Drosophila melanogaster: one gene and its partner. The protein of the gene in region 1 interacts with the protein of each later gene in a pairwise test. Each region holds a gene or a part of one and is shown in the gene's direction. Other genes may lie near its edges.

Region 1 (6,680 bases):
GTTGCCATTTTATTGATACTTTCACGCATATAAATTGGAAATTAGATTACCCTTCCCTCAAATTATAAAAACGGAATTGGTCAGCGCAAAAAGTATTGTGAAGGTTTATAAAAGAAACACTACACTTAGCAATTAATGCGACTAGCCAATTATTATTGATGACAGCACTGCAATTAGCTAAACAAGTAAATTGAAAAGTAAAAATCGCAACCAAATCTTTCAAATCATGGAAAATAATAAATCTCAAAATCAGTGCTAATAAATATACTCTGAAATAAACCTAAATATGAAATGAATTTCTTGTTTACTCGCCTGACAATCTCTTATCTGTAATCCTGTTTTAAAAACAACATCTTAATGGGTTTGTTGTACTGCACAAGCTGGGAAAATGGGAAAGTCAGTCGAAAATCGAACATAGGAAGATATGTACATACATGCTTCATGGGAAGAGGCCACCAACAGATACAAAATTCGGAGACTGAGTCTCGAATCTTCCACGGAAACATGAATGGAACATTTTTAAACATTCGTGGGGTTTTTTCTTATCATCTGGGAATTTTCCACTGACTTGGGTTGCCTGCATCTTGCGCAGAGGTCAGTTTTTATGGTCTCTAACTAATGTTTCGATTTTGGTTGGATAAAATATGATTATTCAGAGTATTCAAACCTCGGCTTTGTTTCCATTTAAATATAGTTCTCACGGAATCTTGTTTTGATTAAATTTCTGCCTACGGTTGATAAGTGAAATTGAAAAATACTTTTACGAACAGAGAACTTAGAAACATATATATGTACTATTTTTTCGATTCCGAAATTGATTATTACTCGAAAACAGCAAGTGTCTAGTAAGAGTAATAGCATTTTCCTTGATAAACTGTAAGCTGTAATTTTTTAACTGTCTGGGTATTCAAATAATATTGTGCATTTCCATGTGCATCTGATGCTGATTGCACTTTTGCGTAATGCTATCAAAGTTGTTTACAGGAATAATACTATGCTATTGCCATCAAAGTCACTGCGACTAAGCGCACACGACAAATATGTGCCCCCCCATGAAGTGATAAGCTCTTTCATGTTGCATCCTTATCAGTGTTGATTTTATTTTCACACTTTTTTCAGGCTTATTGTTTTGCTAAAGATCTCATTATTAGGTTAAGTACTTACGGGTGCGACTGGGATCTGCTTGGCAAATCCCTTATCGCAGTGATGAATGGGTTGCTGGGTGATTCAAAAGCGATTCCATATTACAACAGACCAAATCGTGTTGATCCCAAGGTGTCTGATGACCTGGTAAAACTTTCCGACTAGCCAACTGATAAGCCAAGTCAGAGGTTAGTGTACGAATTATAGAAAATTCTCGGCAAGTGGCATGTTTTTGAAAATGATTTAAAAATAGATTCACAGATTATTTTGCTTGGCGAATATTGTGTTTCTTAAAACAATTGACAAATGACAATATTTCTCTATAAAGTTGACTTAATTCACTTGTGCTTCCCAGGTGTTTCTCAAAGAGCTATACCATATCATATCAGAAGTCCATAAAAATCTTATCGTAAACACTTTTGCGAAATCATTTATGGTCCTCTCTCACGTTTCTTATCGAATGTGTAACTAAAAGAGTTGTTTTCCTTCTCCGTCACACACTTTCTTTTAAATATTTAAATTTGCTCAATTCAATTAGTTAGGAGCAACGATTCCGGCAATATTCGCGCTAAACGATTTCAAATTGAATGCTGAACAACCAGCGCCGGCAGAGGCTCGACAGAGCGTCGCTCTGCATCCCCGAGATTCCGATTTCGATTCCGAACCCAAATCCGAAGCCGAATCAAAGTCAGAAACAGAATCTTTTCCTGAAGCAGTACGACGTCGACTGCGCCGGAGCTCCAGTTTATAAACCCTCGTCCACCAGACGGCAGCGTTCACTTTACAATCAGCGGTCGAGCAGGCAACAAACGTGAAGAAAGTGCACATAGTACCATACCACATATATGTGCATACCATATCATCGAGTTCTGGACGCGGTCATAAAATATCATTTGTGAAACGTAACGAGATTACAAAAGGAATTCCAGTTCCAGATTTCTAAATTAGTTTTGATTCGCGAAATAGAAAACGTGCACAGTTGATTTTATCATAACTTGAAGCGCGAAATTCACATTTGCATAACCAGAAGAAGCGCGTCCGAGGCGATTATATAATTGCAGTGTATTTCGATTGAGCAAGAGCATCTCCAACTTCAGCTGCACAATGACGGGTTACAAGGTGGCCAATGGCAATGGACACAGCAATGGAAATGGAAACACGAAGGGAACAAATGGAACCAATGGACACAGCAATGGACACAAGTCGGCGGACTACACCGCCCAGGAGAATCCCACGTAAGTGGGGAGAGTTGTTGGTTCGAAGTTCGAGCCGACATAAAAAGGGGGTATTATATCGGAGGCCCTCACGCCAGCGGCTCGTTAACTACAATCAGCTTTAATTGAAACTTCCAATAGTTCTGGCTTCAATGCTTCGCGGCTTCGCCTTAACCCCACTGCACTGCACCACCTGTCCTTCTGCACGCCCCTCTCCCTTCCTTCCATGCTAAAGCTTTTGTGACCCGCTTTTCAAGGGGCCAAATCGATATGGCCTTGGCTATCCAGTAGGCCCTGCCAGTAGCCTCACTCTATGACTGAATCAGTCATTTAGGAAACTCGCTTCGGCCTACAGGAAACCAAATTCAGGCACAGACTCCATCCAAAATTCGCTGCCTAGTACGTAGTTGTAAGGGCTAAGACCTCCAACTAACCCGCAGAATGTGCTCCCGCGACTGTTGCTCCGGACCAGGTGGCTCCAATCGAGGCAACACTTGCTCGGACAAGAAGGGCGCCAAGGCCGGCAGTCTCACTGGCGAGAAGATCATACCCACTCCACAGAGCCTGCTGTAAGTTGATTTTGGTGTCCAATTAGGCCTATCCTTAGCTGTCAGTCTGGTTCGTTCGTTCGTTCGATACCCAAAAACTATATCCCTCGGCCCCAAAATGTGTAACGCCAATTGCTGTTCGAATCCCAAAGGCAAGGCTGGCACCAAAACCGCCATCAATAATACAAATTGGCCAGATATCATACCAACTCCAGAAAGTCTGCTGTAAGTCCAAACTTTGTTTACTTCGGGCAATCTAAATCAAAATTCAAGTGACGGAGCTGGATCGTGTCCTTGATCTTTCCGCCGCTATCAAGAAACGAGCTCAACTTAGATCTCTTGAATTTGAATATAGACATTCCAGTATTCCAGGCTTATCAATTTTCGTCAGTCGACGCTGGCTACTCATTAAAATCCCATTCGAAGAATCTTTAATCTGCATATGATTATATGGAGTGGTTTCGCCTAGGTAGAAATACACAGTAGAAAACGTATATGTATTCGAAAGAGTCAAGTGTTCAGGAAATATTTTTTTAATTAACTAATTTCCTCATTATTTTAGAGTTAATATTTTTAGAGCACGTTTTAAGCAGCTGGGCGCTCTTCAGAGTGCCTTGTTTTAATTATTTATATTTTCTCTGTGTACCAAACATTTTGCTGATAAAAAAGCCAAGATTGCCAACTGCTTATGTAAGTGTTTAATGGCCAAGTTAACTGGGAAATCGGCTCCCGCTGATTGGCTGCGCAAAACGGGTGTGTTCCCTGATCTTGACATAGGCCTCCACTTCGTAATCTTTGCCTCAGATACGGGTAATTGGCCAATGGTTCGATAAAGAACGCAACTAAAACATGTTGCCGCATTGATTAATTTCGAAACTAGTTTCCATTCCGATGGAATCACAATGCTGAATATTGATGAAGCGGCGAAAAAGCCGCGTCGCGTGTTTAGATCAAATTTCCATAAATGTCTGGCTACTGAAAGACCAATTTATTAAGGAATTGTGAATAAAGTTCCCAATTAGTGCAAGTTATGCGTGATTATATGTTCCCGTCTTAATGACGCACTTTATGTTTACTGTTCGAAGGCCAGCTTTTGTTTTTTCCATGTAATACTGATAATGCTTAGCATCGTCTCATGCCCGGCTTATCAAATCATTTGAACTGATCCGAAAACAAACACGTGGGAGGTCGTGAGTTCAGTTTTGGTAACAACATCTTAACATAACTCGACTTGCAGTTCAAGTTCGAGCAATTTAACCCAGAACCAGGTGAATTCTTTATGGCTCTAATAGCACTTAATTGCTGTTTTCAAGTTACTCGATAATAGCAAGCGAGTCATGACAATGTTACCACATTCTTTTGATTGCCAAGAAAAACCATAAATGATAGGGGGTCCTTATCTGGATGCCTTCATATCCGTTTATCACAAACCTTTGCCAACCTACTCAGCAACAAATCTTTTCCACAATTGCAGCGGAAATGGAAAAATCCAATGCGAGCTTACGCACGAAGAGCTAAGAGCCCTTCGGGTTCTCAACGAAGACACGTTTGTAGACCAATTCTTCTGAGTTCTGTTTCTCTGTGTTCAATTGTCATTTACTTTATTATTAAAATACATGTATTCACAGTACTGTGATTGGCATAAGGCTGATAAGAATCTTCAAGAAGACACTTTCAGTTCTTCAAAGATATTCTTATCCATAAATTCGATTTTTGTTTTTGTCCTTTTTAAGAATATCTATGTAATTCGATAATGAATTCATGTGTCCATGATCTCTAAAGTTTTTAGTCTTCTGAGTTCTCACTGTATAATATTTGTGTTGTTTTCTTATCATATCATCGAACTGATTGTACATAAATGAATTATTTGTTTTGATAAAACTTCGATTGGTGAATTGAATCTAATTATATTCCTGTGTGTGGAACTTCATCAATTGGTAAATGTATCTTTTTTGTTCCCTCTGGGAATTCCATTCTTCATTTCATTGTTTACCATCGTGGCGAGTAGATAAAAAGGATCTCTGGCCTGTTAACATGTACCCACCCAAATTTATCGCAGTTCACTCGTATATTGTTTACACTTTTATTAGTTCAAAGATCACCCTGCAATACTCACCCAAACAAGATGTAAAACTAATTTTGGTTTTCGACAGGTATCCCTATGAGGTCATCGAGGAGATCGCCGACTTCATTACCAAGGGGTCCGGCATGCGCCCCAAGATCGGCATCATCTGCGGCTCTGGGCTAGGCTCATTGGCCGATATGATCCAGGACCCGAAGATCTTCGAGTATGAGAAGATCCCCAACTTCCCGGTATCTACAGTTGAGGGCCATGCCGGACGACTGGTGGTCGGCACACTCGAGGGCGCCACTGTGATGGCGATGCAGGGCAGGTTCCACTTCTACGAGGGCTATCCGCTGGCCAAGTGCTCAATGCCGGTTCGCGTGATGAAGCTGTGCGGTGTGGAATACCTGTTCGCCACCAATGCGGCTGGTGGAATCAATCCACGGTTCGCGGTGGGCGACATCATGCTGATGCATGACCATGTCAACATGCTGGGCTTTGCCGGAAATTCTCCGCTCCAGGGACCCAATGACCCACGCTTCGGACCCCGCTTTCCCGCCCTGGTGAACTCGTACAACAAGGACCTAATCAACAAGGCCATCGAGATCGCCAAGGCCATGGGCATAGAGTCCAACATTCACGTCGGCGTATACTCCTGTCTGGGTGGTCCCAACTACGAGACCATCGCCGAGCTGAAGGCCCTGCGCATGATGGGCGTGGATGCGGTGGGCATGTCCACCGTACATGAGGTCATCACTGCACGGCACTGCGACATGAAGGTATTCGCCTTCAGCCTCATCACAAATAAGTGCGCCACCGAGTACAGCGATAAGAAGGACGATGAGGCCAACCACGATGAGGTGAGTTCCTAGAGTCCTACTAGTTGATTAAATTAAGCCACTAACTTTCATGTTTATCACCATCTAGGTTATGGCTGTGGCCAAGAACAGGCAAAAGGCCTGCTGCGAACTGGTCTCCCGACTCATCCGGGAAATCCACTTGGCATCCGCTTAAGTAGCGAAGCGAAGAAGTAGCGTTGGATTCTAAATTTAAAAATAGTTAATTCTCTGAGCTCGCATCTAAGACTCACATGACACGGATTGTCCAAAATCTTACAGTATAGGCCTAGGGAATAGTTTAACTAAATTATGTAAAATAAACTAGCTATATCACAATTTCAGCACATTTTGTTTGTTGTTGGGTAAACTTTTAAAAAAGTCTACGATTTGATTGCATACTTTTGCGCGGCGAACAGAAATTCCAGAACAGTTCAAGGTGATCATTCCCCTGGTCACCCAAATAAAAAAAAACCCAACGGAAAGTTAAAATATAATGAAATGTTATTTAATAAAAATTAAATATGCGCAATAATTTTTAACATATTATAAACACAAATACATAGTTATAAAATTAGGGAAATAAAGCTAACATTAAAATGATTTCGAATTGAAAACAATGACATAACGAGAGAGCTCGTTGGCTTTTTGGTGTTTGCAGAGATTGAACAAATGCAATTTCGTTAAATCGATAAAATATTAAATAAAATAATGGTAAAACAACTCAACTTAATATTATGTACAGGTATACGATATAATAGAAGAACTCCAAACTCCGCACAGCTACCGAATGAAGCGAGTTGAAATTTATTGCCTGGCATCGTGCACTTGCATAGTAGTCGTTACATATATAAAGGCTATGTAATATGTGTAA
Region 2 (3,821 bases), 9.0 Mb from region 1:
TGGACTCGGTAAATCTCTAATTAAGAATTTGCCTTGGCCGACATTTGCATAATCTGTACGCAATCCATTATTTCTATTTATTTATTTATCGGCTCGAAACAGAGACAGTTTGGTCACCTGCTGTTCCATTTCGTGAACGAACGACTCCTATTTATTTAAATAATCTGGCCATAATTCAAGTGACCAAGGGTAAACAACAAAAGGTATACGTATATGTGAATGAAAAACTTTTGAACCCTTTTCGGCGAGGAAAAAATAAATGACATTGCAGGTTCGTTTTGCAATCAATTTGGAAATTCCGGTTAAAAGGCGGTAGCACGAAAGTGTGTTTATCCCATAATTTATGGTCGATACACTTTTGGCCGAGCGTCTGCAAGGGTAATTATTGTATTATCTACCAACGGTGCGGATACGTAATAAATGCTCGGTTTAAAAAGGGTGAAAAGCATGCGATAGTTTCTTTGTGCCATTTTTTTCCAGTAATTCCATTCCATTGAATGGTGGCTGTGATTAAAGTATTAAATAAGATGAAGTCGAAGTCCAAGAGGAGATTTTTATTTTAACTACAGCCTCATTCTTTTGATCTGTTTTCTGAAAAATTTTCGAAATGAGAAATTCAATTTCGACCCAATTATAAGATCGGAGGCAGTAAAATGTTAGCGATATGATCGTACCCATTTTTCGTGCACTTGTAGCTGGCCATGCGATTGCCAAAGTCCACGGCAACTGAAACGGATCTTTCCCGGATATAGAGGGCGTAGATGAAAGCGCCCACGAAGGTGTCTCCTGCTCCCAAGGCGTCCACGATGCGTTTGGGCTTGTGCGGCTTGACGTGGGTGAAGTTACCATTGAGATCCAAGATGCCGGCACCCTGATCGCCCCAAAGGACGACCACATATGGTCGCTTGAGATTAAGGCCCCAACGCATTCGCAATCGCTCGTCCAGCTGCATGCAGGCATCCTCCAGAGAAACCCAACCATTCGGTTGGGCCAACTTCTTAGAGAATACGGCATAGTCACAGTAATCCATCAGAGGCCACATGTCATCCAGGTTGTTATCGAACTCCATCGATAGTACGATCTTCTCCTTTCTGTTCGCATTATATGCCTCTATGTCCTTGACCATCGGCAATGACTTATCAAAGTATAGTGCCCGAATGTGAATCCATCCATATTGGTTAAGGTTCAGCTTTCGGAAATCATCAATGCTAACGTACGGGAAGTTATTATTGCAATAGACAATGTTCCGCGTCTTAGTCGCCTTGGTGAGTATCACGGATGAGAAGGGTGCACCCTGGTCACAGGTTGGACAGTTGTCGATAATGATGCCACGACTCTTCAAGTCATCGACCAGAACTTGAAACACACTCCAACTGCTCAGCATTCCTAGGAACTCCACTTTGACGCCCAGATTGGCCAAAACAGTACAGTTGTTCGAGGCCTTGCCACCGCGAATCCAGTATCCTCCAATGACCTTCTGATGTGAGTTCTCCTCGGGAAAACGTTTTATGGTCGAGACAAAGTCAATGGTCGTTGTGCCGATGCACAACACCGTCTTTTTGCCAACAGCCCAGCTCAGTTTGTGGCCATATTGAGTCATATTGAATATTGCTTTTAAAATTTAAAATTTTTTAAAATCAGTTTTCCAAAAAGTACGTGGCTGATATGATATAGAAATTTGGATTAAAAATGCTTTCCACTCCATAATAGAGATCTACAAGTCCATACCTAACGATTCAATCATTTGTCAAGAGTTATTCAAAATCAAAAAAACAAATTATGATCGATTTAAATTAAGGGCAGAGAATCGAAGAAAGAAGTAGAGGAGGATCTGGATACGAAATCAGAGCTTTAGACAATCGCCAGGATGACGCAATGGTGTGCTATCAGTGTAATGAAGGCCGTGCTCTGCGTCGGCTGCACGGAGGTGGACTACGTGACCACCATGGATAAGGTCGACTTCCAGTGCGACAGGTGCAGCACCCAGAATGGAATGCTTCAGCGCAGCGGAAGATCCTCGAATGTTAGTACGGCCCTGCGTCTGTTGGGCGCCAATGTGGAGTTGTTCGGTGTGCTCACCCGTAATCCCACCTATCGCATGATTCTGGATGATCTCGAGCAGCGGGGCATTGATATTAGCCATTGTACATTCACGGACGCAAGTCCTCCCTTTTCCACAATTGTCCAAGATCGCTGGACGCGTCGTTGCACGGTGGTGTATTGCGACAAGTCATTTCCATATGTTACGGCAGCGGATTTCCGCAAATTGGATCTCGATCAATACGGCTGGGTGAATTTTGAGGCACGGAGTCCACGTGAAACTTGCGATATGATACGCCTAATCCTCGATCACAACAACGGGCGGGATGAACGGGATCGGATAGTGGTATCGTTGCAGATTTTCAATTCCTTCGAACAGGTCGTGCATCTGATTGCCATGTGCGACTATGTGTTCGTCACCAAGTATATAGCCGAGTCCAGAGGCTGGAAGTCACCGCTGGAAGCCTGCGAGGGTGTCAATGCGCTACTGCGCATGCCAAGGAACATTAGAATTCGCAGACCCTGCATCATTGTGCCGTGGAGCAGCCTGGGAGCAGGATGTATGACCACGGAAGGGGAGTACTTCGAAGTGCCAGCACACAAGCCGAAAAAGATCATCGATCGGGTGGGCGATAGTGATTGCTTCACGGCGGGCTTCATTTATGCCGCTTTTGTGCGGCAAAGGCGATTGGCCGAAGCCGTGGACTTCGCCAATGCTGTGGCCAGCTATAAGTTGGGCTATGTGGGTTTCGATTGCCTGGGTCATTTGCCAATCGATGCGGTTAAGCTGCCCGTTAGAATGAGGTGTGGCAGTGAGGTGTCCTCCGACGATGAGGATAACGGCGATCAGTTGAATAGCTGCAAGAAGCACCTGTTACGCCCGATTGAGTTCCTGCCGGAAAAGTCCTCCATTGCACCCACTGAGAAGGAAGTTCCGATCGAGACTTCGCAACTTTCTAGCTAGAAAAGCACTGACCATCTGAAATATTCTGCAAATTTAAAACATTTAATGTATGGTTTATAAATCTAAGTGTATCACCTAACAAAGAGTTAGCTTTGAAATTAATTAGTTTCTACACTTGCACTTTTTTCCACTAAATTTCATTTTTCAACGCTATGAGAACATTTAGTTGAGCATTTATTTCATTTCATTTTTCAACGCTATGAGAACATTTAGTTGATCGTTTATCCAAAAAGTATGGATCGATTTTAGGACGTAGTGTTGGCATACCTGATTTAATCCATGCTACTTTATTTAGATACATAAATAAGCGGGCTGTAAAGGCATGGCATAATTTCTGACACAATGATTTAGTTGAGTTTCCCACTGGGTGGCAATTCGACGATGTCGCAGATAGCCCTTAGAGGAAATGGCCAAAGGAGCCTCATAGTGTATGTGTGTGTGCAAATGGATGCTGTGGAAGAACTGTTGCCACAGCATAATTGCCACATGATTAATTCTTGAGTCAGGCGAAACTTGTCCGGGTCCGAGACCAAGATAAATGCTAATAGATATACATTTATGTAGACGTTGGGCGTTTGGACAAATGTTGTGAATGGCGGAGAACGGGGGTCTTCTCGGTCATTTATCATTTGGGACAACAGGCAGGCAGGCAGGCAACAACAATTACCACGAATATAAGTGACAATTTTCATGCATTTCCCGGGCCACGCGGCGTATGAGCGATGAAGATAATTTCGGTGCGAAGCAGCACAGATTACCAGAGATGGCGATGCCAAGGCAGCTCAAATAATCCTTGGCCAGCAAATCGATAAATGTC

Evidence for each region.
Region 2: the proteins of CG16758 (region 1) and CG12289 interact in a two-hybrid assay, tested with the Drosophila melanogaster proteins (one large-scale study listed by BioGRID).

Annotation. Positions count from the first base shown.
Region 1 is NT_037436.4:2,498,841-2,505,520, reverse strand, and holds CG16758 (uncharacterized protein), read left to right. Parts: upstream 1-1,914; 5' UTR 1,915-2,247; coding exon 2,248-2,378; intron 2,379-2,705; exon of another isoform or gene 2,706-2,797; coding exon 2,798-2,926; exon of another isoform or gene 2,927-3,023; coding exon of another isoform or gene 3,024-3,130; intron 3,131-4,379; coding exon 4,380-4,451; intron 4,452-5,058; coding exon 5,059-5,830; intron 5,831-5,897; coding exon 5,898-5,984; 3' UTR 5,985-6,149; downstream 6,150-6,680.
Region 2 is NT_037436.4:11,456,339-11,460,159, reverse strand, and holds CG12289 (uncharacterized protein), read left to right. Parts: upstream 1-1,689; 5' UTR 1,690-1,867; coding exon 1,868-3,004; 3' UTR 3,005-3,084; downstream 3,085-3,821. Other genes in the region: CG7551 (uncharacterized protein), read right to left, coding at 632-1,600.